Linked DNA regions of Mytilus edulis. The protein of the gene in region 2 interacts with the protein of the main gene of each other region in a pairwise test. Links are inferred from orthologs where the notes say so. Each region holds a gene or a part of one and is shown on either strand. Other genes may lie near its edges. The genes, in order: 5'-AMP-activated protein kinase subunit beta-1-like and filamin-B-like.

Region 1 (15,765 bases), about 41 Mb from region 2:
AAATGATCCAAAAACCTTAAAGTGGCATTTATTTTCTTAAAATGGTATGTCAAATTGATCGAAACTTTGATGGTATGGTCCCTCCCATGAACCAATGTGGTATATGCTATTAAAATTTTGGGAATAGTCTCTGTTCCCATAGGAACCATCACAAATGTCAAAAATTTCAAAAATTTCAAAAATTTCAGAATGCTCCAAAATTGATGAAACTTTATAGGATTGTAGACTGGTAAGTCTGGATGAGACTTTTGATGTTGGAATTTCCAAAAAGACCACCGTTGCCATGGAAACTGCAAAAATGTCAAAAATTTTCAAAATGCTTTGAACTTTATGAAACTTGATGTTAAACATTTTTTTAAATGGCTGCCGCTTAGTGGCAATAGGGGGAAGGTTGACATCTGCTATTGCTTGCAATGGCAATTCTAGTTTTATTTATTTTCTTTTGTTACATCTTTTGACATTGGACTCGGACTTCTCTTGATCTGAATTTTAATGTGCGTATTGTTATGCGTTTACTTTTATCATTATCATTATCACTGTACTAGTATACATATTTTTAGGGGCCAGCTGAAGGACACCTACGGGTGCGGGAATTCTCGCTACATTGAAGATCCATTGCTGGCCGACTGTTGTCTGCTCTATGGTCGGGTTGTTGTCGCTTTGACACATTCCCCATTTCCTTTCTCAATTTTATTTAAACTGTTTTTAGTTAATCAAATTCCTGTGGACAGATTCAAAAGAATTCACAATTCAAAGTGAAAATTTTCTGCTTTTCACACATTTTCCTTTTCATTTACAGACCTATAATATATAACAAATGTTTCATTGACTGTATTTCAAGGGCCATACATGGGACCAAGGGAAAGCATTTCTAAATCTCATCTATGGATGTTGTCATCTTTTGTTTTTTGCATAAGGGAAATGAAAATGAAATATGCCTCCAAGGGTGGTTACCCCATTTTTTAAAGTGCCTTCCCTGGGTATCATATATGAATTAATGGAACAGCCTGAAGTATGACAGCTACATATACTTTTTATTAATATTCACATGCAGTTAATTAAGTTCTTATATTACATACAGTTTCATAAAAATCCCAAATCACCCAAATATATGTACTTTGCTAGAAGTGGCATTGCTGAAAGGTTATGCATGTATATACTAATTCAGTACTTACGGCCTTTGTCTTTTTTAGAATTTTTAACATATAGGCTATCTAAAGCTAAAGCTTCAAACACTTCAAAATCTGCTTTCCTAATTTGTATTGAGTTGCTTACACTTCCTTGAGTATCTGTCAACACAGGCTGGAATGTATTTAAAATTTTGAGATTTGTACTACACACATTACGTATATAAGTATAGACTAATTCAGTACTTACGTCCTTTGTCTTTTTTAGAATTATTTACATTTAGGCTATCTAAAGCTAAAGCTTCAAACACTTCAAAATCTGCCTTTCTAACTTGAATTGTGTTGTTTATATTCCCTTGACTATCTTTCATTGTAGGCTGGAATGTATTCAAAATGTTATGTGTGCATTGTGTACAGTGTATCACATGTAAGTGTATACATATACATACAAGTCTAACACACTGAATATCATCCAAAAACAATACTTGCAATACATATTAATGAAAATTTTGATAATGAGTGGTTAGATTTATAACATGATTCCAAACTCTATATCTACCTAACAATGACAAGATGAACAACTCTGATCAATTAACTATAGATGATACTCTAAAGTCTTTGTAATGCTAATGAACTTGGTGATGAGTTTCATTACTTATTCAAATTTACCTTTTTCAACAATGTAAGAGCTAAACTTTTACCTTTAAATGTATGTAATAACCCAAATGTTTTAAAATTTAAAGAACTGATGACTACATCAGATCTATTTACACTTACTGGAATAGCAAAATTTTGCAAAAGTGTTATTAAAACCTTTTAATAGATGTGCTTAATCATTTTACTGTTATTTGTCAAATATCAGTATTAATTATATATACTATTATTGAACCTTTATTTACAATGTTGTTCTAATGTAAATATGTTCACACTTTTATTGTTTGTTAAAAAATGTTGTACTAGCATACCCCATGTGGGGGTTTTAGTGAAATAAAATGTCTTATGTCTTTTAAAAGTTACTCATTGAAGGACAATCCATATCTATTTTTTTTTTCACAATGTTTCTAATCAGAATATATACTTGAAAAAAATCTTCTTTCAAAGTTTATTGTAGGTAAGAAGGAACATCAGACATCATTTTTGAGAAAAAACACAAAGTTTATGCTTTATATAATTGAGGGATAATATTCTGTAGAATAGATCAACATTAAATTGTTGAAAGTACATGTATCCTCAGAATGATTCATCCTCTATCAGGATGTCCAATGAATCAATGAGAAACATTCATATTATAGTGAATGGCACATTAACACTTGATCCTGTCATATACATTTTTTTGTAATTTCTAATGAACATATACCAATATAAATGTATGTACACATTGAGATTTTTCTTGGGAAACCACCAAGAGTCGGTTTCACAAAAAAACTTACGACTAAGATTGATTGTAAGTATACTGAATTGTTCATGACTTATGACCAATCTTAGTCGCAAGTTTTTTTGTGAAACCGACTCCAGCACTCATGCTCTATCATCTGTGTGTAATTTTAGGCTTGGATAGAACTGGCTTTGAAAAAAATCCAATTGCTAAATCAGTATTTTTTCACAGAATTAGAATGTCCTGTTGATTTTTTCTGCTTTTTTATCCTGTATATACATGTACATCTACATGTACATGTATGTCTTGCAGAGATTGTGCATGCTTCAATCTTAAAACTAAATGAAGGCTTTGTTATGCATGTTAAGGTTATGAATATCAAATAGGTAATATCATATACATGTACATGTGACAATCAATACCATGATGATCAAATGAAACTGAAAAATTAAGTAGATATTTACCTCTGAAGGGTTGTGCTGCCATGACCCATCAACAAAAAACTTGTACTGATGTTCACCTTCTGGTAATTCTATAATTGTTAGAAAATCACCATGACTGAAAAAGAAAAAAGAATTGAAATATGCAATATGCAAGGTAGCATTATTCTTATAACACACCTAGCCAATAAGCTGCAGCTAGCATTAACAAATTTCAAACGAATCTAACATGCCAAGCCACCCTTATGAAAATTATCATTATACAGTTGTATGGTATACAATTTTTACTTTTTTTTTAAAGTTAAACATGTTAAACTTATATTCATCAAAATGACTTAGGGGTCCTGATTGTCAAGTGGTCTAAGTAGTTCATCTGATGTATATATACTAATTAGCCTGTTAACACTAAGGTTAAGGGGCCCCATATGTAGCAAGTATGTTAGACTCCAATCCCAATAGATTAGGATTGTTTGTTTTGCTGCCAAAAGTCAGACAACTCCAGTTATCTCCACCAATTTAAGTTGTCCTCAATGACAAAGCTTATAGTGCTGAAAAATTAAACAGCCAACAATCAATAATTCAAAACAATTCCTTTTTTGTTGTTTGCATGGTGTTTTATGAACGTACATGTATACACCCCACAAATCCTTATATTCATACAAATTATCTAATTATATAACATATCTATACAATCAATAATTGTTAACCACAATAAAAATTGTGTTTGTGGTTTAAAAATATAGTTTATACATGTTACATGTACCTGAAGTTATCAAATAATCACCTTTTTACTTTCATTACAATAAACAAGATAAATGACTTTCTATTGTTTATGAGTCATCAGTTATCCCACATGGGTCTGCTCAAATGAAGGCGATATGGATTATGGTATATTTTTGGTGGGTAGCTTTATTCCTCTTCATGTTACACCAATACAAACAATCTAAGATACCAGATAATATGCACAGTTTGTCCTGGTGTACGGTATATATAATGTCCTGAATAACTGAATAGTTCAATCTTTTTCTTTACAAACCTTTTGACAAGAGGTATTTTGGCCCATTTATTAAAACTTCCAGCTAAGTAAATATCCTTTCCGCCACCTTCCCATTTGAATACTGCTGGTAAAAGTTTAGGCGTCTGGTAAACCATATCAGCTCCCTGACTCAGTGTTGTGGCGGCTCTTGGTCGCTAAATGACAAAAAAAAACATTTTTTGATAAAATTATTGCCCTTCTACTCTGACCTGATAAATTAGGAGAATTATATATTCTCCAACATGTAAACCAAATTAAAAACAATCAAGCAACAGGGAAATGTTAAAGAATTACATCTTTTTTCAAACTTACCATAAAAGAGTGCGGATAAAAAAAAAATTGGCAGCATCTATTGAATGTAGTTCAATGTACATGTATATATATATTTTTAAGCTACATTTTGTACAAAGATACATGTATTATATCATGTCATCTAATGACAGATTGAGTCCACAAAATTATACATTAGATGAACCGTCCCAGACAGACTTGTACATTATGAAAGTTGATCTTGTATTGCTGATCATTTTTTTTCTCTTTGCAGTTTCTCTCCAACTTCTTTAGTTTTTGACCTTTTGCCAAAAACACAAAAAGGGGGGGGGGGGGGGGGAATATTCATTGATGGGCAATCACTTTATATTATAGCATGCCTACTATTGATTTGCGCATAAATTGATTACTTGTAGAGAAGATACATGTACATACAACAAACAATGTATGTAATGTATGTCAAGAGGATTACTGTACATGTACATTCTGTTGTTCAATGAACAATAAAATTACTGTAGATCAATTCCAAGTGACTAATGTCTGACATGAACAGGTACACATGTACATACATGTAGTCACTCAGGGATTGCAGCAGATAAAATCAACATTTTAAAAAATTTATTTAACAGTTGAAAAGTTTTGCAAATGGAAATACTATTGTTACGAATTTACTGTTTAAGAATATAATAATAGTTCTACGGTTATATATTTCCGATATCTATATTAGTTTCCCATATCATCTTTTTATCGTTGAAAACTGTATCTAAAATCATCCCTTTATCCTTGGTTGCTATCAGACGCTTTACCTGTACAGTTGTTGCTAGGGTGCTCTCTTCGAGGTCCGCGTTAGAAGTATAAATAGTGGGTAGCTATTCAGTGTAAATTGTCATTTGTACCGAAGACAGCAGACAGTAAACATCGGAAAGGAAGTAGTTTATAGCAGGCAGAAGGTTTAGTTTAAGTAAAGTGAAGTGCTTGGAACCTGCAGACAGAATAGAGAATGGGCTGAGACTGTTGGTTCGGTACAAATTGTCCAAACAGGGCTGGTGCTAAGGTTTTGCGTCTCACATCTCTCACTATTGCAGTGAGTGTTTGCTGACATACCATGCCTTAGTGCTACCCTGTTGTTTCGACAGTTATAGAAATGTTTATTAAATAAAGTTTTATACCTTTTAGGTTCAGTCCCGTTTTATACATTTAGGTTTCAGCCCGTTTGATACATTTAGGTTTCAGACCAGTTCCAAACATTTAGGTTTCAGACCAGTTCCAAACATTTAGGTTTCAGACAATAGTTCCAAACCGTCAGACCCGTTCCATACATTTATGTTTCAGACCTGTTTCATACATTTATGTTTCAAACCAGTTCCATACATTTAGGTTTCAGACTATAGTTTCAAACAGTTGGTTTTAAACGGTATTGGACTGAAAGGGTTTTAAAACAGTTTTTTAATTCAACAAGTTTGGTTCAGGTTGATAGGTGTTGAAATTCGTTTTATGTAGTATAGTATTTGTTTCATATTTGATAGTGATAGTGTAACATTTTAATTGACTTTCGAACTTTTGAATTGCTTTTCAAATCCCAGGAAACTGGTATGAACCCGAGGATAAAACTATCTAAACGTCCCCGCCCGGTTACACGTTACACTATTATACAAATACATGTATCTATTTTTTAAACTTCTAAAATTTTACATAAGCTCAAAATTCAAAGATGGTGCTGATAAAATAAATGATGCATTGATTAATATATTGTATACATTTGTATATGCAATAATAGACACATTATAACCAGCTTCATGTACTTTTGTAGGGACAAACTAATACAATAGAGTGAAATGTCCAAAGACTAACAATAAAAATATGAAAAGGGGCATAACTCTAGAATGGTTAAAGTGAGGCCAACCAAATTCAAACTTGATCTCTGATTTGTGGTAATACATTTTGTGAGAATTGTGTACAAGTTTCATAACATTTAATTGAGACAAACTAAAGTTAGAGAACGGAGAACAACTTTTGGACATACGGACGGACAATAAACGTATGTGTACAAAAAATGTATCTGCCAGAAACTGCACCTAGAAATACATATAAAGTCTGGAAAAGATCAGAAGACAAACACCAAACTCTCATGTCTCTTTATAAACCTTTATTCAATCAAAGTCAAAATAATTCAGACATCAATGATGTTTTGAGTAAAAAATAACTCACAATAAAATTATTAAAAAGGGCATAACTCTAGAATGGTTAAAGTGAGGCCACCCAAATTCAAACTTGATCTGTGGTTTGTGGTAATACATTTTGTAAGAATTGTGTACAAGTTTCATAGCATTTTATTGAGACAAACTAAAGTTAGAGAACAGAAAACAACTTTTGGACATACTGACGGACAATAAGCGTACATATAAAGTCTGGAAAAGGTCAGAAGACAAACACCAAACTCATTAATGATGTTATGGGTCATAACCAGTGACACAATGTTCATGTACATGTATATACACTTGTATGTTGACGAAGTTTGAAGTTATTAATTTTTAGCATATCAAATAAATCTCAAAAATGCTATTGTTATATCAAACGTTTATTCATTCTCATCACTTAAATAGTTTTTTTTAAATTCACTGTAGTCAGATGTAATCAGATCCATCTCTGTTGGACAAGAGTAAAACTTGTTTCCCCCTCTGCTATGGTGGGGGCATAAAAAAAAACATCCTAGTAAGGATTCTGTACATTTATTGTGTATACATTGTATTAACTTAATTACTAAGTACATGACCAGTTTTCATAGCCATCACAGGAGCTGTTATATATTTATAAAGTACAATCACAATGTACAAATGGCATCAATTTACTTGTTGTCACCTGATTAGCATACATGAACACTTGTAAATAATCTAACCTTTAAATTAATATATATAGAGTAAGGATTGAAAAAAAATTACAATTTTACAACACAAGTAAATTTATTGGACCAAATAAACTAGACTGCAATTTAACAGTTACATCTCTATTTATGGGACCATATATTAAATAGAATACATCATAAACATGTATCTACAATACTGTACAATTCTAATTTACAAATCTATCAATAAACAATGTACCGTTGTGTCTAAAGGTATATGTATGATTGTAAACAAAATATAAAGAAAAGGTCATCTACAACTTACACGTACATTTGATGCAGGTCATTCTTTTCAAAAGTCAAAATGTTATTCTACTTTTATATTTATATGCTAAATGGTAACCTTCCTCAATGTCAAATAGTACACATTTCTACTTGGGGCTACATGACACAATTATCATAAAAATGTCAACTTTATAATCTAAATATTTTTTTTCAATTTCTTACTGAATAAATTAGTTCATGAAATGATTCACAGTTTAAACTTATACAAAAATATTTGAAGAAAATCTGAATCTAAAAAAATGAGAAAGATAAAAATTGTTTTTAATCATTGGGCATATGACCTTCACCTTCAACTCAAGACATCAAGTAAATATTTACATGTTTACTAAAAAGACTAGAAGGAAAACTAGAAAAATAATTTTAAAGAATTACCCTAATGTTAGGATTGATCACTTGAATGTGATCAAATTCTTTTTCGCTATATCCATATCTTCCAGCTACAAGTTGAGGTCCAGATTCATCGCCAGACACATGGCGAGATTTTTGTGATGTATTGCCCATTCTTCTAGATTGTAGTGTCACATCGGATTTAAAAATGTCTCAAATTAATATTTTACTATGACTGATACATTAGGTGCAATCAATAGTTGACTTGTAAATTATATCCAAGTAAAGACAACAAATATATGACCGACACTTGTCATGTGGTGGTCGATCACCTCGTGTCGTGTCTTTACAAAATTTAGAACGACCTAATCCCAAAATTTAACTTCGTTTAAGTTTTAGGACAAAATCCGATGTTCCTTGCCTAATCTTTACATCATTTTATCTTTTCTGAAGTCAACATTTTAAAAAATTTGATTGAATCGACTGCAAAAAGTAAACAAATATGGTGGAATCCACGGTACGCATGCCAGAAATAGTAAATGGTAGAACAAGTACGGATTTTTCTTTTAAAATCCGTTAAAATTCTATTTGAACTTTCTTTCATTTTTCAAAGTAAGGCTGACTCAGACATCATTTTATTTCAGATCATCGAAATCATTTTTTTTTCATGATTAATTTTAACGCCCCTTTACTTCCCGCAAAGAAGGTACTTAACGATTTACCCGCAGAGCCGTGAATGAAAGAATGATTGCATTCTCGCATGTCTGCCTCTGATAATACACCTTATCGCTATTTGTCCGCCATTACTAGATATCACACAGGTTCCCGTAATTTTTTGACGTCACAAAACAAAATATCTGACGACACAATGGAAAAGTGATTGTTGTATGCGTCAAAAGTTCAAGCGGCAGGGTCAGCCGGGATTAGCGATAAGGTGTCACATGATGACGTCATCACTTCAATCCTGAGATCGTAGGGCATTATATTGAACCTCTTTTCAGTCTGAGTATAAAAAAAATAAAAAATGTGACGGAGTTCCAATATCTAACGTTAGAGACATTAAGATACATTTTGCCTCCACCTCAATTTTTTTTCTCTCCAAAATCCGTTATTCACGTTTTCTATAATAATGTTCCTGTTTTAAAATATCATACTTACATATATTTGTACATAAATATATTCGAAACAACGTTTGTTTACAATTTATTATCAATTGTTGGTTTACTATCCACATCGGTCATTGATAATAGAATACTGTAAAGCATTGACCGCTGTAATACTGATCGAGTAAAAGATATCGTAGAGTATTTGCGGTTGGAGACTTTATTTCATAGGAAATTTCGCTAAAGCCAAAGGTCGCATGAAGCCACCAGAGACCGCATATATACACGTCATGTATGTCTCGGTAGTAAAAGTCTAATAAAAGTATAGAAACAAATATATACATATATATTTATACATTTTTTGACTCGTTCAAAATTAGAAGATACCGACGGTCTAAAAATGGATAATAATAAAAAATTCTTTTGTTCTCTTATTCAAAAAAAGACAATGAATGTTATATTTAATCTTTATCTTTTATGTATTTGTACAAAAGCCAATATCAAAATAACTTAACTCTCGATGGATGGCTTTCATTTCATTTACTTTTCGTTCAAATGGTTGTTTCCTCCGTAACGGTTACTAGCCTAAAAAATACTCACGAGCCTGCTGAGAATTTTGCATAAATAATTGCTTGAAAAAGACAAGTTACCTATACCACGGGTTTCATTCGGTTTAACGAGAGAAATTATCGTGAAGGAATATCTAACGACGGTCAACGGTTTTGAGAGACGATCGTGAAAGCTCTGGTTACGGATCGAGAAAGACATTTAATGTAAATTCCAGTTCATAATCTTTGAAAAAATCGTTTAATTTTCAAAACGCGGAACAAATCCGAACAAAAAAATATGTCTGTCAAAATGGTCAAGTTAACATCCTCAACATAACTGTGAAATAAGATAAAGAAAATATGCAGTACTTTATGAAAAAACACAAAAGGCGCAATGCATGTCTAAGAAATTAATTACAAATAACACGCTTTTTGTACCTATAATGGTCATATTTCAGTTTATCATGATATATTTGAAATTTAATCTTTGGTGTATCTGATAGTACAGTAAAATTAAAGTATGTTCTTCCCTTATAAGCATTAATTTGTATATGAAAACCTTGAATTTGTTGAATTTCCATCAAACTTGACGATCCTTGATCGTGAAAGATCAGGCAACGCATTATTTTTATCGTGAAAGATAATGCGTGACCAGACATATTAATACTAGTAATCAGAAATCAGTATTGCTTTTACCATTTGATAAACCTGCAACTGGTTGAAACCTGTAACTATTTTGATAAGGATGAACATTAGAGCTATTTTTTTTTTTATTCACACTTTACCTCGAAGTTTAAAAAAACAACAAATAAACGTGTCTAAATAAGTGTGAAAGATTCAGCTCTGGGAATCGGTCAAGTGCAATTTAGAAAGACCGACACTATTTAGCCAATAATATGGATATGCAACGTTTAAACCAAAATGATATCCACCTAACAAAAAATTACAGCAAAACAGCATCTTTCATGGGTAATTTGAGATTGAACGATAACCAACACTTTGTGCAACAGTACTTTCTTAAGTTCTTTATACACAACGCAAATGTGGATTGATTTAACTACATACTACAGACTATAGAATACCAGATCGCAAATGCTGTAATGTCTCGTCTTCTTTACACATGATTGTATATTTGTTGAACGTCTATAATATCAAGGGTTTTCCAAGAAGTGTCAAATGCGCTTAATATTGTCAATGGTTCATAAAATGAGTTCAAGGTTAGATGAACCATGCCATACAGATCTCTACAAATATCACGTACACCAAATTAAAGTGTTCAGATCCTTACAGTGCCTTAGAAACTGACAAATGTAAAAGTTATGCTTGGCCAATTAATTCGCCGGGAACATAAGGTCAAAAGTATATGAACCCTGACCGACAGCCAGACATAGACATCTTACTATCATTCAATATATCAAATACAATTGACGTCATCATGGTCATAGAAAAAGAAGAAGAAGATGCTTTATTTCCATAAAATGGGCTCACAAGGAGCATAATATAATATCATTGTAATATAATATTCTTTTACAAATATAATAAACAACACATAGTTACAAACACAAATAAGAAACAACAGTTTTCACATATTAGTATATATATAAAACCTTTGTCTCAGGCACACCTCTGGAAAGTAACAAAAAAGAATACTGTGAGTAGGCTAAATATATCTAGCTGAACTGCAAAAGGCACCAAGGGACGGTGCTATATGGCATGGTGGGTGCATATTAAAATGTGTATAGGGACATTAATGATATGGTTAGATATGGTAAGAAGTTGCACATAAATGGTAAGTCATCCTCGTGCCTGGTGCAGAGGAGTCAGTACTATCTAAAGTGACACAACTGCAAGAGGCACTAAGGGACAATGCTAATTGACATGCCAAAGTGCACAAATTACGAAAAAGATAAAATATTACCAGTTTAATCAAAAAATTTAAATAAAATATCACAAACAAGAAGGTAATAGAACTTGTACGATGTGTCCTGTACCCCACCATGCCAACCTCGTGCCTAGTGCAGAAAGCCTGATTAAATATTAATCTTTTAAGTTATATTTTATCTTCATCAATTAACTCACAGACAGATATCAAAATATCAAGATTCTCTACATTAAGAAGCCATATCAGTTTTGGCTAGGAATCAAATGCTTAAAGTTTGGGCATAGTGAGTCAATAGTGGAATTCAAATAATTTCTCTTATCTTGAGATGATGTACATGAGAATACAAAATGTTTTTCATCACTCAACTTCATTTGAGGTGCACCTGAGACATATTCTGTCTTGTCGGAGAGTACCCTGATAGCGACCTTGTTCAATTTTTAGTCTGTGAGAAGAAATACGCAATCGAGTGAAATTTCTCCTCTGCTCAGGTGATTGTAATAAAGTAAGATATCTTTCAAGACCAAAATGAGTCTTAAAAGTGCTATAGCTACAAAGCTTCCCATCAGCACAATTGTGCATTTGGTTTCTCCACTGTATTTCATAGTGCTCATACAAAAACTTTTTAATTAAAATTTTGAATCTAAAGTTGCTTGCAAAGGTTAAACTGTCAACCCCATTAATTTTTTTTTGCTAATAGTTTAAAGATCCATACCAAGAGGAAATTTTTGATTCAAATAATAGTTTTGACTCTAAATATGCATCTTTTAATAAGGGAAAGGATGAACCCAAATTTTCAAGCCGGTGCCAGTATCTGATCATAGATTTGGTGATATCAAAATGTAAAGGAAATCTCCCAAGTTCTGAAAGAGTGGCAAGGTTTGTTGCTCTTTTCCCCACACCTAGTAATAATTTACAAAATTTCATATGTAATCTTTCTGAAAAAAGTTTAGGATAGGCTTGATCAACTGTAGAAGTCTGAGAATTAAATTTTTTCTTGAAAGGATTAAAAAAGCCCCAAATTTCCGAACTATACAAAAGAATGGGTTTAATTGTATGATCAAATACATTGAGGGTTTTTTTAATATTGGGATTCAGTGATAAAAGAGGGGGAGGACCGGTCTCTAAAAACACCGCAAAGGACCTCCTTTGTGCACAAAGGAGCACAAAGGAGCACTAAGGACCTCAAAGAAGTTTGATAAGAGCACAAAGGACCTTAATTTCCCTTTAAAGCATTAAAATATTATAATTCTGTATTGACCCTCGACCCTACCATACATAAGAAAGCTATAGCTGATGATGAAACATCGGTATCCTTACGTAATTATCGTAGTTTTGGTAAAGTCTGTTATCTTAAAATATATTACAACAACAAAATATTAAGAATAATAATTGACGTTTTTATCATTTATATCATATTACAACTATTAAAAATTTTACATACATGAGCTACATGTATCACTTTCCCGGATATAAAGTCGGTTCCAATCCGATATCGGTGATAACATCCAATCGTACATTATAAAAATCGCAATTTTTATTGAAATTATTTTATTTTTTTTACATTTTTCTTCAGGAATCATAATATTTTTATGCTTTAAAGGGAATTTCAGGTCCTTTGTGCTCTTATCAAACTTTTTTAGGGTCCTTAGTGCTCCTTTGTGCTCCTTTGTGCACAAAGGAGGTCCTTTGCGGTGTTTTTAGAGACCCGGGGAGGACAGGGATAAGGGAGACCGGGAGAAAGGGGGTAGGAGAAAGGAGAAAGGGGGTGGGAAAAAGGAGAAAGGGGGTGGGAGAAAGGAGAGGAAGGCTGGGAGAAAGGAGAAAAAGTTGGAGAAAGGAGAAAAAATAAAATATCTCTCCTTTTAAAATTTTTTCTAATATTTCAAGAAAAAATATCTTAAAAGGAGATGTTTTATTCTAATGGGAGAAAGGAGAACGGGGGTAGGAGAAAGGAGAAGAGAGGTGGGAGAAGGGAGAAGGGTACCCCCCTGTCCTCCCCCTCATAAAAAGTCCTTTCGTAGCTTGTAGTATGCTTTCAATGCCTTATTGTACAATTCCTATTGAGCAAAGGAAAAAGATCCTGATGCACTAAATGTTATACCTAAATATTTACAATGTTGAACACATTCTATCTAATTATGTTTTATATGCCTGCCTGCTTTGTTAAATACCATCACCTTAGTTTTTTTTTTTAGATTAATTTTCATACACCAATCTTTACAATAATTATTTAATTGATCAAGTTTACACTGAAGCCCCTTTTCCGAGGAAGAAAAAATGACAATATCGTCAGCATATAATAAACAATGAACTGGCTTTGAGTTAACCAAGACTGGATCAGGTGACTTTTCTAGATAATCAGGGAGATCATTTATAAATATTTTAAACAAATTAGGACTCAAATTATCTCCCTGTTTCACTCCCACCTTAGTTGGGAAAAGGTCTGTAACTCTATTCTTTAATCGAATACAGGATTTACTCTGGGCATAAATACTCTTAATTATATTATAAAAATTTGTACCCAGCCCAATGTTTAATAACTTGAGTTTTATACCTGGGTGAATGACCGTGTCAAAGGCCTTCTGGAAATCAACAAAACAGGCAAACACTCTACCTTCTTTAGTATGACAGTACTTATCAATAATGGTCTTAAGTATGAACATATGGTCAGATGGTCGCGCTTTCCTTGTGAAGCCAATTTGGCTATCTTTAATGATCTGATATTTATCTAAAAATTTGCAAAGACGGGTGTCAAGAATTTTATTAAAAAGTTTCCCCAAAGCATCAGTAATAGTTCTTCCTCTATAATTATTAGGATCAGATGCATCATTCCTTTTATGAATTGGGAATATGTAGCCAATAGTCCAGGGTTCTCGGTATTTTCCATAAGAGAGCCAATTATTAAAAAGTTTTAGTAAACAAGGTAACAAAGAGGTTTGACCATATTTTAGCATACTGTTAGAGATGTTATCCAACCCTGCTGCTTTATTGATTTTTAAAGATGACAAAGCAGTAGATATTTCGGTTTCAGAGATCCTACTATCAAGTTCATTAAAGCACTTTCTTTTTTCAAGAATATTTAGCTTTTCCTCTAAAAAATGCAGTCGTTCTTTAAACTCATCTTTTGGTTCTGTCAAATTTTTAAAATGATTCAACCAATCAAATGGTGCGACTAATGCACTTTTATCATCCTTTTCCTTGCCCTGAAGTTCATCAATCAATTGCCAGTACTGCTTAGGGTTTTCCTCGTGCAGTGTTTCTATCTGCTTCAACAAAGACTGCTTGCACTCCCTTGTATTTGTGTTTCCGTGCCTTAGTATATAAGCGCTGTAGTTTATAAAAGTGACCTTTAACGGCAGGATCTCTGGGAAATCGAGAATAAATTTTCCCATAACTAAATAGGTTTTTTCGCAAATATGCAAGATTACAGTCAAACCACTTTTAGTGTTTAACCCCCTTACCCGTTTGGGCTTAACGCCTTTTAAGGGAAATATTGGCAGCAGTTTTTATAATGTCTGTCAATTCTAGAGATGCGCTATCAATTGCATTTTGGGAATCGATGGGCTCTAGTTTAATGAATTTTTCAAGTCGCTGCTGAATTTCTGCCGGTCATATATGAAACATGCAGACAGACATGTACACCATACACGAATTGCCTTGGCGCTATAGCATACAGGTATATATCCAAAAGCTAAACAACATAAAACAAACATTGCCGAATGATGCATGCAAATGAGTTCCATGTTATTTAAAACCTTGCAGAAGTCGAAAATCTACACCTTATTATCATAACAACAGACAGTTATCCTTTTTGAATTTTCCTCGGAGTTCAGTATTTTTGTGATTTTACTTATCCTAAAGCTTAACGAATCCGCGATACGGACTTGACCACAACAATAAATCTTCATCCATGAAATGAGGCAAATTCGGGGTCAGGTGAATCCTGTCTGACGGACATGTAATTTATAGGATCCAATATACAAAATGTGGGTATCCTATAACTCGTGATAAGTGAGTACTTCACATGACAATAAAAAGCTTCATTCTACAATCATCCAACTTTTTTACATTTCTTTGAAATGCTTAAACCTATTGAGGATGTTGACCTATCTAGCTTTTCTCAATACCAATAACAAATATTAATTATGATATAATTGAAGAATAATTCGAACGTTTTCGTAGCATCAGATCTTTCACGATCCTTTTCACGATTTTCAAAAATGCGGTACGTGATCTTTCACGATCCGAAAATTCAATTTTTGTGTAAATAGTTCTTTATTTATCAAGTTTCAGATTATGTTTATACAAAATAACTATGAGAACTATTTGATTAATTCAAATAGAGTGCCCTTATTCGGATAAAAGTAGTTTTTCTAGTCGAATTTGTGAAAAAATCATGTTTGTTTACATTTTTTATGTCATTGAAATGTCGAGAAGCAATCTGCCTTTTGTTGTTTTGTAATAACTATG
Region 2 (16,212 bases):
AATGCATTGTTAATCTGATATTAAATGCAATACTATTGTTCACAAGATATATTACGTACACTTTTAACTGTTGCCAACTGTTGGGAAACCTAAGTATGTCAATGTGCAGGAAATTTCAAAAACATAAATATTTGAAAAACTGTTTCATAATTTTGTTACAACTACAGCAAAGATATCAAATATATGAAGAAAAAAAATGAGAGGAGTGGGTTGTGAGAAGGAGATAAAAGTAAAATGCAGCAATATTTAATCAACCTTAATCAATGCTTGAGATCAAAAATTTAACCTGATATTGGACAAAGAAGTAATGGAAGTGCTACTCTACTATCTTAGGCTGAGCATAAAAATATTTTGCCTAAACTGGCATTGCACTAAATTTATATTTGAAAATGAAGATGGAAACAGGCAACAAGAGGGTAATCAGTATGTCTTACTTCAATGCAATTCCATCATTCCAATCTGTTGTAAAGTTGCCGATACCACATTCTGGAATTACAGCCTGTATCCATGCCAACATCAACTTCTTGGTCGGGAATTTGGTTTTTCCGATTTGGTAACGGAGAATAAGATGCCATATCAGACCTAAGATTAACTTCAGGTTTCCAGTTACAATATCATCGCTTCCTGTAAATATGAAATTTTTTACATTATATCTATTACAGATAGTGTCAAAATTTGTAATGAAAAGGAACTAACTATGCATTGTACATATAAGGAAGTTATTAGAGGTGAATGTTTTTAAAATAGTTTCAGAGTGCTATCTACCTCCAGTTTTTCTCATCTAATTTTTCTAATTATAATTTATATACACCATTTTATCATTCCCTCATGGTATATGAGAGTTTATGATTTATCATAGAGTTATCTCCCATTCTTATCCTTCAAACTCTCCATTTTTCCCTTTTTTTCATTTTAATTGTTTCTCTTACTTTTTTGGAGGGAATGCAAGTTAGTAAAAAAGAATTACGGTACTGAATAAAAATGTTTTTACTTTTAACAAGATATTGAAAAGCAATCCAAATTAAAACTATTTATAACAAAAAAAAATTGTAAATATAAAAAAAAAAACAGACTGACAGATTTAGGATTACAATGTATTGCTAGTCCTCCTATATACATTTTCATCTTATGTAAAAATGTTGGGACATTTAAACACCATTTTTCTTTTAAATAGTTTGTGAACAACGAAAAATTTTACAATACAATAACATGTCATCTTATACCTTATTGGTATTGTGTTTATTGTACAAAATGTAGTTTACTGATTCAGTATCTTTAAATAGATTATTTTGCTTTTAGGCACAAAATAAGTTGACATATTTGAATAAAATAAACCCCTAAGTGCAAATGTACGATTATTTTAAATTGAATGTCACATATCAGAGATTACAGGCTTAAGTGAAAAAAATGACTAGCATGCTCCAAGCCTATTTACTATGCACACTATAAGATTCGAAACTATTGTACATGTATTCTATACTGCTCTATTTGATAGAGCAAAAACATTTAAAGGTTTGATCTTTGTCTTGTGTTTCCTAGTATTTCTAAAGTTAAGGATTGGCAATCATCATTGATAAGTGACATTTCAAAACGAAAATAGCACATTTGAAAGATAAATTTGCTACATCCTTTTGTTCAACTAGCAATTGCAATTCATTAATATTCATTGGCTGAAAGCTTCAAAACGTTAAAGCAGCCCTGAGTTGCATAACAGAACTTTTATGTTGCATAAGCAATGTACTATTAATGCTTTTGCATATATATAATCATAGCAATAGCAGCTTTTATTTTGCATTTATATTCAATTTATCCACCTAATGCAGATTAGAATTGTGTGTACATCAGATAAATATCTACAAATTGCAGACAATTACTAGTAGATTGTAAATTAAAAAAAATATGTATTTACTATAATTTATATTTATATTTTTGTAATTTCAATGTTTTATTAGAAAATCATTTCTTAATTTTAAAATTAATTTCAATTTAAATTTTAAAGAATTGTTACTTATCTTTCATAATGATAAAATATGTTTAAGTTCTTTTTTTTATATCAGTATACTTTCTGCAATAAACATATCCATAAAAATAGGCATAACCTCGCCACATTCTGTATGTATGCGCCTGTCCCAAGTCAGGAGCCTGTTATTCTGCTGTTGTCGTTTGTTGCTGTGTTACATATTTGGTTTTCGTTCATTTTTTTTTTTTACATTAATCAGCCTGCTAGTTTTTTGTTTGAATTGTTTTACATTTGTCATTTCGTGGGCTTTTATAACTGACTATGTGGTATGGGCTTTACTCATTGTTGAATGCTGTATTTTGTGACCTATAAATGTTTATTTCTGTGTCATTTGGTCTCTTATAAAGAATTGTAAAATTGGCAACCATACCACATCTTCTATTTTATATTTACAATGTATCTACATTTGCATGTTATGAAATCCCTCTGAACAAGAAACTGCTCTTTTGAAGATTTTTAACAATTATGAATCAAATTTAAATGATGTGGTCAGAAATGTTTGAAGATTACAACAAAAATGTACAAAAAAAACAACAAATATAAAAGCCAGATACCACGGGAAAAAAGTGAAAATCTTCCACAAAACATGACACAGAAAAACAAGTTGACCAAGATTGTTTATGAGCTTTAAAGGTTCAACCATATAATTTTGAGGAATGTTAAAACACAAATTTTTGTAGTGTATTATAAATTGGCCAGAAAAAATACCAAATTTAAATATCAAAAATTAAATGCCTATCCATTTAATCAATCACCAATAGTGAAGTTAAATTTTTTAAAGTGCAGTCAGTAAAATACTTGTTAAAAGAAGGAGATTCTTGCTCTGGCTGCTGCTATCATGCCAGGGTGTCAGTTATTTCTATGAAATTCTAAATGAAGTTAAAACTAGATGATTTTTAGCTCTGGCGGTTGCTATATGTACATGTATCATGCTAGTGAGTCCAGAAGAGATCATCTTCTTTTCAATCTACAGATTTTTAAGAGTTCATGTACATGTATCTAAATATATCACAATAAAATAAAATGATTTTTGAATTAATGAACGTATGATACTTGTACAATTTCAAACAATTTCATTTGGTTTGTAGTGTTAAATGCCTATCTTCTGATAAAAAAAAGTTTAAAGAAATATTCAATTTCTACAATGGTGGACAAACTTAAAACTAGTGTATTCCAAAGACTGTTGCAGTGGGCCATCTAGAGTTTATAGACACCTGTCTCTTGTTGTAGTCTAAATATATGTTAACTTTCAAATGTGTATTCTTGTTTGATTTATGTTGTTGTGTTGCTATCTGATTGACTTGAGGACCTATGTACATGTACATGTGTGGCTCATGTTGTGATGGAGTCACAGTGGATTGCCAAATGTTGGGGTTTGTTTTAAAAGTAATAAAAGTTTGTTTACATTTAAAAAATCAGTTAGTGAGTTCTATGATTTTTTAATATAGATTTTGAATCAGTTTGTGCATAATTTGAATAAATGTAGGATAATACATGTAGGTTCAAGCCTGACACTCTCTTTTTATTACATGTAATGCATACATATGCACTTAATAAATGTAAATATTGTGTTTTCCACAAAAATAAGGGAAATCCCAAAGAGCATTATACAGATCAGTTATAAAATTTGTCCAACCAAAACATCATCAGTCTTTATGTACCTAATGTTTACGCAAATATAATGGTAAACCACACTTCAATGAAAAAAGGGAGCTTTCTGCAACAAAAGTTGCAGGCTCGACAAAAAACAAAAAAACTATCCAACAGAGAACAATTTTCTTTTCTTTTTTCTTGGGTTGGACATAGCTTGACAGATTTCAAAAGTACACAGCAATTGATTATTTTCAGTTTACTTTACATCCAGTGGCAAATATTTCAGATATTTTAGATGCAATTTACATCTTGAATCATATCAATTTGTATACAATGAATATGCCAGTGGTACTTGCAGTTGCAAAATTGTTATTTTTGCTGAGTCCAAATGACTTTATGGAAAGTCTAGTGATTCTGGCTCATTGCTAGATTTATGACTGATACATTGTTGGTGTTTAACAGCACTTTCAGTACTCTACGCTATATCTGGGTGGCCAGTATTTTAAAAGGAAGCTGGACTGTCCAGAGAGAAAGAATCAATGATCTTTGACAGGCAATCTTAGTAAATTAAAATCCACCTTGCCATGTGCAGGGTTCAAATTCATATACATGTAATAAAAAAATGTACAACCTGCATGATACTGTGGATAAACACATTTTTTCTAAAAATATAGGAGTCTGGGTGGCTGACTGGCCTACATCTACAGTCCACAAGATATCTAATCATTGAAGTTGCAAGCATCTCATTTTATATATTTAATGATTTTGTTTGTTGGTTTTTTTTTGTTTTTTTTTTGGGGGGGGGGTCATATTTTTCAGGAGATAAAGATATCTGTGCATTTATCTCAGATGGAGTACAGGAATATGCTGAACATGCAATATGATTTTTTTATTACCTTAAGTATTATTATTGGGTTATAATGTAAAGGCTACACGATTGAAAGTTATACTCCTTTCTGGAATTTCCATTATTTTGGGGTAAAATACTAAATTAAATGTACATGTAGGTGTAGTGCTGTACCTATTAGCCTATCAAGGTACATTTATATGCAACAATAATTTTTAAGAAACTATCAGTATCACTCTCTAAACTGAAGTATTAAAAATCTTTGTTGACAAACTTTTAACTGATAGCATCATATGTCCTGAACCATGACATGGATGACCCCATATTCATAAAGAATGATTTTGCAAATTATGACCCACTGTATACCTCCATGATACATGTACATAAAACCTTACAAAACAAAGGGTTTGAAAATAATTCAGCCAAAGAGAATGTGAGGATACTTATTAATCAACATTTTCTTGTTGAGTCATTTAATGTAAAATGACTCACATTTACAGAAAGAAGAAAAATTTCTTGAAAATCATCTATTTTTATTTTCAGTTTTGAAATGGTACATGGCATTTAAAAATATCATTGAAAGTTCTTCATCTGTAAAACCAATTAAAAGATCAAATTATATATGTACATGTAACAAGATTTTTATAATTAGCCACTGTTTCTCAAGTGTTCATAATTGATTAGATGTTCCAAATGAAATTGTCAGAACTCCAAGATTGTCTGTGGAACAATAAAATTACATGCTACAACAAACACTGAATTGTAATGGTATTTTTAATTCAGTGTAAGCTGCCTAAATGAAATATCTAAACTATGTTTTCAAAGTTGTAATGTGCTGGTACAATTTTGTACATTTCTAGTAGAAAGAATATTTATTTTAAAACATTTATTTTAAGCATAAAAAAATGTGTTTTATTTAAGTTAATGTACCCCTTTTGGTGGTTTGGGACCAACCTGGCAAAAGAGTTATAATTATACATTTATCAAGGTACATGTGCCCATGTTTTTATTTTTTACTTCAAAATTCATCATTTTTTGTCATCCCCTCAGGCCAAATCCAGAGGACATATATATGTCTCTGGCTAAACATACATGTAAGAGGCTGAGCCTAAAGGAATGTCATGGTTTAACTTACCAATATTCACCAGTCTAACATTGTCATTTGCAATGGCATTCAGTGCTTTGGAAACATTCTCCAGGTTCTGATGATGATTTCTTGGATTTTTAATAACCCTTCCTATTTTCTTTCCTTGCAAAGCTTCAACAAGATAACACAGTCGAACTCCATCCGAAAAGTCAGTCTGTAAATCTTCAATAAGTTCACAATTGTATATCCTAAGTTGTTCGTTCACCCAATTGGTGAATGTGTTTTGCTGAATTAAGACCCAGCGATCTGTTTCACCTCTCAGACTCATAGCTGCATGTCCTTCTCTGCTTAAAGCACGAGCTGACATTGTGAGTTTTTTGCCAAAAATTTCTCAACTTTGACACTTTTTTAACTGAACCACACCTAACATACAATTGTATTGTTACAGCTGTAGGGTCTTGTTGCTGTAATTAATGTCCTGGATATCAAAGGGTCTCTTATCGGGAACTCCTGTCAATAAATACCTGTCCTGTTTGGATGATGTTTTAGACAGGAACTTATGGTTCCAACAGACATTCAATTCCGGTCCGAACAAACCGGTTTGCAGGAATTACTAGCGAAGGCGTAAATAGACACCTTTTAAAAATCCGCCCTCTGGCGGGCAGGTATAGTTTTGATCGTTCATTCATATTTTCACACTTGACTGGTTACAGTTATAAACAAATATGGGACGGGTGTGACTGGTAATAAAAATGTAATAAATAATTTATTGTGTTTTCTAGCATTTGTTTAGGAAACAACAAATCATTAGTTGATTCATAATTAATTATTACCTGTCAGGTGTATTGATTAACGTCAATCACTTTTACAAGTAAACAGCAATATTAAAATAATTTACAGGTAATTTGACACGATTAGTTACCAATAATCGAAAGGGTGTGAATAGACGTGCATATTATGATTGTTGATTTATTTTTATCAATTTAAGAATTTATTACTTGATCCCTTCAGTTTCGAAATCTACATCTTGTTCAGCATATGGTGACAATTGGTTTTTGTTTGCTCGAAATCCAGTCGCAAATATTTCATTCAGGACGAGAAAAATCAGCAACATGTTTTTCTTTCATTGTTTTTGGCATGAATCAGGCGTTGTATGCTTGTTTGCTTTGAATTGAATTAAGTCAAGTTAATAATTTGAGAAAAAATACATATACATGTATAATGCAATTTTATTATTCTTTTATTCACAATATATACGTGGTTTTTAGCTTGATTCTGACCAATGCTTATATTCCAAATATATATGTATATGCCTCTATTATTGTTGTTGTTACCAATTATGTAAATCAATTGTATCTGATTTTATGCCCTTTATGGGCCCTGTAATTTGGGAAATAAAAAATGTTCTATTCTATTTTATTCTATTCAACTTTTTTTGTTAAATTTGTAGTACAACATGTATCATGCCACTTCAAAACCACAATCAACAACATTTGAATTAGACCGAGGTTTTTCTGATATCTGACAATATTTTGGGTTTCCTGTGGTCTTGGGAAAGCCCCCATTCAAATACCCTGAACGCATGTCAGATCGAAAAGCATATTCGGACTAGAAAGTTATTCTGTAATTCAAATGCAAGAGTAACCCTAGGGGGTGCATTTATTGCAAATAAAACTGGTTTTGGTTTTAGTTTAAGGTTTTGAACTGGTTTCCAAAACTAGTTTAGGTTTTATCGAACTAGTTTGAAAAATAAACCCAGTTCAGGCACATTTAAACAAATGGGTGGTTTCCTTGAACAATGTTGAAACCATAACAAAAATGACTGAAGTATATCTTTTACTACAGGACTTGATAACACAAACAGAAGATGACAGCATTGATAGGCTTTATCAGATTCACAAGAGTGTCTCAAAAAGAAAGCTAGTTTTCTCAGTTGTATCATGCTTGGCTGCTAAACGTAGACACATCGCCAGGGTGAAAAATTGTGTTGAAAATGTTATCCCCCAATACACACCTGATGACTTTAAGAATCGTTTTAGAATGAGCAGATCAACATTTGATGCACTAGTTCTAAGCTTATCTCCTCAGTTAGCGGTTGGTCTTAAGGGTGGCATCATGAAAGTTTCTATTGAAAAGCAACTACTGATTTTCATAAGATATGCATCATGTCAACAGATTTTGACTGAATTAGCTGACAGCTTTGGTGTATGTGAGCAACAGTTCATACATCGAACATCTTCAATTATTTGTTCAGATTTGCTTCCTGCATTTAATAGTTAAATGGCCTTCTGGAATGAAAGTGCAAGAGACAGTTGACATGTTTTTTCAACACAAAGGTTTCCCTGGTGTTTTAGGGGCGATTGATGGATCACATATCCCCATCAAAACTCCTAAAGTGGATGGTGAACAATATTACAACAGAAAAAAGTTTCCTTCTATAATACTTCAAGCAGTATGTGACAAAAACTTACATTTTCTAGATTTTTATTGTGGGTGGCCAGGTTCTGTGCATGACTCGCGAGTTCTTAAAAACTCGCCTCTGTTTACAAGTGCATCTGATAACAAAGAGAGAATGTTCCCAGGTAATACCCATCTAATTGGAGATGCTGCATATGCTTTGAGTCAGTGGGTAATGACGCCTTTCAAAGACTTTGGCAACCTTTCGGCTGAACAAAAACGTTATAACTACATCCATAGTTCGAGTCGGATGTGTATCGACAGAGCCTTTGGTGCATTGAAAGGTCGATTCAGGCGTTTAAGATACATTGACATGAAAGATATGCCTGAAGTGGTAAAATTTGTGCTCAGCTGTTGCACATTACATGAAGTTAGTTTAGCCAATTTTGATGATTTTGATGAATACATTGAAGAAAGCCAAAATGCCAATGAAGAGATCAATGATTTCCAAGATTTTTTAAGGAGAAGACACAACATAAACGTCAGTCAATTGTTGATATGCTGGGATAAAAAGATATTGCTCATATTTATCTCCCTTAACCATGTTAACAGAAAATGTGTAAATTGTTTTTTAACTGTAAACTTTAGCCAAATTTAGATTTTCAATTCTTAATTAGTGTATTGTTTTATTTTGTATCGCCTGCTTTTCACACATGAATGACTCGGTGTTCATTTTCATGTTTTGGTCCATAACATGTCACTGTGTATTATCAATGTTATCTAGGTACTGTTATTTGACTGTTGCCCTGTTTATAATCTGAGTTAGAAAGGCAATACTTTATAAAAATAAGATGTGGTATGATTGTCAATGAAACAACTATCCACCGAGTTCAAATAAAGTGGATGCAAGTAATTTAAGGCAACCGTTCGGCCTTGAACATACCATTTACTGGGCTATAAAAGGCCCAGACATGAAAAATATGAAAAAATTCAATTGAGAAAACTAACAGTTTAACAAAACAAAATACTAAAAAGAAATGATCGACATGAACAAACAACAACCACTGAACTACAGGCTTCTGACTAGGGACAGGCACATAAAAAATGGACCAGGAGCCTCTGGCCTTTGTTAGTCTAGTATGATTTTTAATTTTAGTTTCTTGTATATAATTTGGAGTTTAGTATGACGTCCATTACCACTGAACTAGTATATATATTTGTTTAGGGGCCAGCTGAAGGATGCCTCCGAGTCCGGGAGTTTCTCACTGCATTGAAGACCTATTGGTGACCTTCTTCTGTTGTCTGTTCTATGGTCGGTTTGTTGTCTCTTTGACACATTCCCCATTTCCATTCTCAATTTTATATCAGTGCTACTAGCACGACTAGCTATACACTGTGCAGTAATATAAACTCAATGATTATTTTCAGGCCAAATTTTAGGGATCATGGAGTTCCACATGTTCTAGACCCCTGCTATTTTTTTGTTCCTTGGATGGAAAAAAATTATATATAAAGTTGATATTTTTTTCAATATATATGTGTTCAACAATGAAACAGTTTCATATAATGAAATTTGTATTTTTAACAATAGAATAAAGTGGAATGCAATACTAATATGTCACTCTGACAATGCTGCAACTCAGAAAAACATAATAAAGTCAAAAAGAAAAAAAAACTTAAATCAATCCAATTATTGTAGTATGTCTATTTTTTCATATGTTCAATAATCTGTGACATAAGATGATTTTTTTTGTCTTCTTTGTCCATTTTTGCCTTATGCTGTTCCTTTATTTCAGATAGCAACCCTCTCTGTTCTTCTTTAAACTCCTCATTCATGGTTTCCAAAAACATCAAAACTTCATTACTTTTTTTTACTTTCTTTCCCTGGTTATTTGTTGGATCTGAATCACTTGCCGTCTTCTTTCTTTTACCCTCTTCTGCCAAACTACTTTCATTTAAAGACTCTACATCACTATCCTCACATGTCACAGATTCTGCTGATGGCATTGATGAGCTCATTGTGAAGATAGGTTTGACATTTGCCTTGTACCCATAAGCTTCCTCCATTTCACAAAAATAGGGGCTCTTTTTTACATCATTCCCACTTTTTTGGTTGTGATCAACAGTGTCACGAAATATTTTTGTAAAGTTTTTCCACTTTTGTTCACATTGCTGGAAAGTAAATGTACTGAGCTGCTTCGTCATGTTCGTCTGCACTTCTTCCGCCATATTCTTTTTCGAAACCAAACTACTAAACTGCCCCGAGAGCGGTTTGATAAGTTTCCAGAACTGGTTTTCGTTTTGTCTCAATAAACAATCAAACCAGTTTCAGTTTTAAACCAGGTTCTAAACTGGTTTGTCAAAACAAATGAAAAGTTTTGAAAACTGTTGCAAAACTTAAACCAGTTTGCTACCAATAAATGCACCCCCTGTGTCAACCTAACTGGTTTTTGCAGTATAGTACGGTACTAAATGCCTAAGTGTCCCAGAGTTATCTTTCTTTTGACAACAATAAAGTGTTGTTTTTTTTTTAAACTTGACACGTCTTTTTATGACTGCTAGACATGTTTGTGGTTTAATAAATGTAAGTCGTTGAAAAGAAAATCAAGTTTTAACTTAGGATTGTTTTGACCATAAACATCTCCTTTCAAGACCATGTTACTTTTGTAGGATCATACATGATTTAGGAATAAAGGGTAAATGAAATTATGTGTTTGTCGTCCACTTTAATCCACATGATGTCTTGAGGTAGAATTTTACTTAAAACATCTTAATGATTACCCGACTGTAAATATCCTGAAATTCATAATTAACATTTTAATCACTATAACATATCCAAACGGCCATAATTTGAAAAATCACATACAAACACGACAAACACCCTATGAACAATAATTGATCCCATTCCCTGAACAACAATCAGTAGTTTCATGTTTTTTCTCACATGAATTGTTCCATATTTGTTTCTTCCTAAAGCCTTTTATATATGGAATGGGTTTTGCTCATTAAGACAATATGCAAAATCGATCTAGATGAATATGTTGGTTATAATTAACAACGTTATCCGTGAATCATTCCATACATATGGTTTAGAAATACATAGTTATTAAGAATTTCTTTAAAATATATATTTCCTTTACCTTAAAAACATTCCTCCTTTGAAACTTCATTCATAAGAATTTGATAAGTGTTTTTCCTTAACTAGTCTTACATGGTAATCTTTGTGTATTTATCATTTAACTGTTGAAAACAAATTTTAACCCCCAATGGATAAGGATGATGATGACGATTTGGTGTTCCAGTGACAAATATCACATGCTTAGGAGGAAAAGAATATGTTGGTGAACCATGCCTCATTTCATGTACACACTGATGCAGAGCTTTTAACATGCTTGATTAAAAGGTAAGTCTGTAGGAAGACACCTCATCCTATGCCTGAGCACATTATTCAGAGTCTGAATGACAGGTCTTATTTCTAAATGCTGCTTGCTTAGAGAAGACGCTGTACTTTCCAATTTTTTAGTTCGATGCAGCTGAAGATTGAACCAAGACCTCATCCACTGAAGATGAGCATACGTCCATGGTTCCACCAATGGATTACAAGGTGTTTTTCAAGCAACAAATACAACTAAGTGAACTTAAGTGTCATAAACTGACTTGCAACTTTTTAGATATAGGTCTTGTAACCTTGTTTTTATTAAGATCATCAAATGTATTTTTAAAGGTTTCATTTAAATGGTGCATGGGTTCTAAAGGATTGGTGAAATCAAAGTGCTGGATAGCACCTCTGGAAAGTTTGCAACTGTAGCTGTGTATTATTCCAAAAAGGTTATAGACGTGTATTATTTCAAAAATGTATTTCATCACAGCTTGGATGTTTTAAACTAATCCATTGTCTTGTCAGTAATTATCAAAAATCACTTTTTTCATGTTTGTCATAAAAAGTTTTGATATTTTCTATTGCAACCTAAAACTGTAGATCTAAAATATTGAAATATACAGAAAGCTCTGATAATTTCTTTTTAAGTACCCATGCCATGTCAACATCAAGGGCCTGTGAATTAGTATTTTTCTATTGGTTTAGATCCTTAATTTTTGTTTTTAGTAAATTAACACGTAAGTTTTTTTGTTTGAATTGCTCCACATGTTTCCTATCGGGGCCTTTTATAGCTTTCTGCATGTATATGGTACATATATTTCTCATTATTGACGAACATATGGTGACCTATAGTTATTAATACATTTTCGTCCTTTGAACTCTTTTGGATAGCATTGGTTTCTTTGCAAAAAATACCACATCCTTTTTTATAAATAAGACAGTTACAGTAACTTAAATCAATACAAATGTAATGAAAGTGAATTCATATTAAAGGCTTTTATCTAAAATAGGGAACGTGTCCATGGACACAAATGATGCCCCCGCTAGCATTAATGTTATAAAGGGTCACAACTCAAGAACTGTAAATGTGCATGACGCTACCAAAATGTGTACTTGATCTGAGTTATGGGGTAATAAGCATTGTGTATACATTCTAATTACACAGTATTGCGCAATAGATTTGTTAGATCTTGACATTTGTTTTGTGTCAGAAACCTATATATTATGTCAAAAATTTGATCGCAATCCAAATTCAGAGCTATATCAAGCTTGAATGTTGTGTCCATACTTGCCCCAACTGTTTAGGGTTTCGACCTCTGTGGTCGTATAAAGATGTGCCCACCGTAGCATCTGGTTCAATTTGAAACGAGGCACAACCCTACAGCAGTAAAAATTACTCCACCAAAATTCAAGATTGATCTTTGTTTTATTGTTAAAAGTATTAACAATGTATAAATTTCATAACATTTGGTTGAGCGAACTTAAGTTAGATAACTGAAACGAAAATAGTCAGCAATTTTTTACATATGTAAAGGGGCATAACTCTAAAATGGTATAACTATCGCCACCAAAATTCAAACTTGACTTGTGAATTGTGGTTATAAGCATTGCGTATAAGTTTCATACAATTTGGTTAAGGCAAACTAAAGTAAGAGAACAGCAACGAATTTTGGGATGTACGGAGGTACATGTACGTACAAGTAAGGGAAGGACATACATACTTACAGCAGAACAAGGATAAAACTCAATACGGTGGGAGCATAACAACAGCAGTATGACCACAGGAATAAAAAGTTTATATACACTAGATTCATAGAGGTGCTTATAACCTGTAACACATTTAGTTGCTGTTGTGAAATTAAGCATTGTCTTATGAGTTAAGAACATTTGAGAATTTTTGTTTTATTAAGCCATTCATTTGATATATTACGGTAATCATTGCCTCTGTGTTTGGGTGACAAAGCAATTGAAATCTATTAAAATAGGGCATGGTATGCCTTAAAACTTTTCCAGATGCACAGGCCGCTGTTTGTCTGTAATCTATCTAAATTTTGAGGTGAAAATGCAGCCATTTTAGCCAAAGGGTACACATCATGAACCTTATAATCATTTCTATAGAACTTGTCTTAATACCCTGAGCTATAATATTCGAAGAAGTGGATGCTGACTCGGTTGCTTTTAATACGGATGCTATATGATACGAATTTACAATAACATACCAGAAGTGGTATGATGTAAATTATTGGAAGAAGACTGAAGAACTGACGTTGGGTCAATGTTTTTCTGCTGTCACTTTGATCCACTTAAGCATGCTGAACGAGTAAAGTTCCTTATATCCACATTGGAATGTGAAACAATTAGTATTTAAATAACGGAATTAAGTTTTCAAATGATTTTTGGCATCAAAATCTTCCGATCGATGTTTAGACAAAAACAATGCATTTTTTTTTTTTTTTTTATTAAAGCCGGTCATTTTTACCTTTACTCGTCCTTGGCGTGAGACGTTAGACATATAATATAATTATCGAGTATTTTATATTCTTTCACCTGTGTTTTGTTTAAACAAACCATTATCACTTTTCAATTATCCGACGGCTTGGTCAAAATGTCAACTTGTTCTCGCATTTTAATCAGTCATTCCCGATTCTTTCGATACTCTCGGGATTTTACAACGTTTACGTACGTACATATAGTAAACAGGTAAAAGTAGAGCGGGGAAATGTTCATTCATGAAATATTCATGAATGAATGAAAACGCAATCTCGCGTAGATTTCTTGTGATTTTTTCTACAGCGCATGGCAGATCCGCGAAGTAGTGTTTGTAATACTCATTTTTAAAATGAAGTTAAATTCATCTGAATCGTCGGTGAATATTCATTTCTTTTTATTCAAGCTGTAATCTTTTCAGTCAAAACAGTAGTTACTCAAAATTTTAAAAGAATCTTCCAAGAATCAGAACTCAAACACTAGTACTACACTATCTCGGAGCAGAATATATTGCGATAATCTGTCAACCGGAAGTTTGAGGCCGACGCCTAAGGAAAGTAGCAATAGCAAGCTATAGCAAACTTTCCAAAAATGGATTTCAAACAAGTGAAGTATAAGTGACAGCTTTGACACATGGCATCACAAGTACTGATAATGTATTGTATTTAAGGTACCAACTGTTAAAAGAAAACCAAGTTGTTTGTTACATCCATTGAATTACTTACTTGTCAGTTAATTTGCATCTACTGCCCTGTACAAAGGCAGTAACTTTGAAACCCATAAATCAATGAAATATTCTTTTTAATAACAGTTGTCATGTGGTTGGATTGGTGCATGACCATTTTTTTCCAATAATGATCAATTGAAAAAATTAAACTAGGCTGTGTTGACCTTGTGTGGATTTGGCTATTTCTAAGTCATATAGCTCCTATTATATTTAAGTATTCTTACATACATGGCAATGTTTTAGTTTGAGCATTCCACATGAAAGTAAATCCAGAAAAGGGTATCTTACTCATATTTTGTAATTTACATAAAAATTCACTACAATAACTGACATTTATCCATAATATTCCAGTAGCCATGAAAAATGAACCACACTCAATGTTACACAACTGCATGCTCAGTAATAACAAAAAACACACAGGTACTTTCTTTAAACATGTTTATTCAAAAACAAATATACTTTTGCTGTGAAGTAAGAACTGTATAACTGTAGTAAATATAGACTAGTATTACAACTGAAAACTGTTAACAAATTTTCTTGCATGCAGTCAATTCTATTTAATCAAGAATTGTTTTCAAAAAGGTCGAGCCTTACAGTTATAATTTTTTTAGTACAATGTATGATTATCGTACTCAAACCCAGAAATCAACCAATCAAAATTTGACTTTACAAACACAACTTTTGTTCACAAAGTACTGAGTCAAGCTTCATGACTGAAAGGCCAGTTGTTAAAATCATAATTGCTCAGTAGGAAAGAACTCTTGTAAATCTAACGTAAAATCAGATGAATTTAGCTGTTCTATCAAAATGATATAAATTTCAATTACCAGTACATTTATGGTTAGAAATTCAAATTTAACTTGTCATCTGCACAATCATTTTTGTACTTATTGCTTCCGTTGTAATAGGCCAGTTTAATTTAAGAATCCAGCAAAATATGAAATACACACTGTGATTACCATTCTTATAAATATGATTTATCATGTACAACAGTAAAACAAGATTGTTTTGGAGAGAATCTATTGTGTGTGATTTTACCTCAGATAACACTAGTTTCTCTCTCTTACTATGAATATTATCAGACATTACATGAATTTAAAACAAAATTGTTAACAAAGATGATGAATATATTAGGATTATGTCAAAACATTCCAAAAGAAAAGAACATGTTTCTTGCACCAATTGAAAAAAAAAAATCCAGAGAAAAATACAGCATTTCAAGACCTTTGATTTGTTTAATTAACTTACAGGTTGGGTGGTGGTCTCTTTGACAGTTACCCACACATCTTTTATTCACAAAAAGTTTTTTTACATTCATATATGAAAATATCTATGAATAACAGATGTGGGGGTATACGTCAAAAACCCCAACTAAATGACACAAATAACCCTTAGACACATAAAGGTCAATATATAGTCTTCATAAAAATTGAAAGTGTTAAATTAACTCTGTTAATTTTATGTGTCACTATATAAACTTGAAAAAGTTGTAGATACATATGAATTTAATACAAAACCAGATCTGTCATTATGCTGAACTCTCCAAATAACAAAATACTGTAATTTTAGAAAAATACAAGGTTTTTGTCATTGAGACAGAGTCGTAAACGCAATAATTTTAAACTCGCATTTTGAAATATTTTATATGAAACAGGATTTTTCTCAAAATCTTAAA

The links.
Region 1: the proteins of filamin-B-like (region 2) and 5'-AMP-activated protein kinase subunit beta-1-like interact in a two-hybrid assay, tested with the Drosophila melanogaster proteins (2 studies listed by BioGRID). The link is inferred for Mytilus edulis from reciprocal best matches to the Drosophila melanogaster genes jbug and alc.

What each region holds. Positions count from the first base shown.
Region 1 is NC_092346.1:61,317,930-61,333,694, forward strand, and holds the start of 5'-AMP-activated protein kinase subunit beta-1-like, read right to left. Parts: upstream 8,307-15,765; 5' UTR 7,937-8,306; coding exon 7,808-7,936; intron 4,134-7,807; coding exon 3,979-4,133; intron 3,061-3,978; coding exon 2,967-3,060; intron 1,505-2,966; coding exon 1,378-1,504; intron 1,303-1,377; coding exon of another isoform or gene 1,176-1,302; intron 1-1,175.
Region 2 is NC_092346.1:20,334,617-20,350,828, reverse strand, and holds the start of filamin-B-like, read right to left. Parts: upstream 6,201-16,212; 5' UTR 5,915-6,200; coding exon 5,596-5,914; intron 625-5,595; coding exon 435-624; intron 1-434. Other genes in the region: putative nuclease HARBI1, read left to right, coding at 7,841-8,485, 9,373-9,384.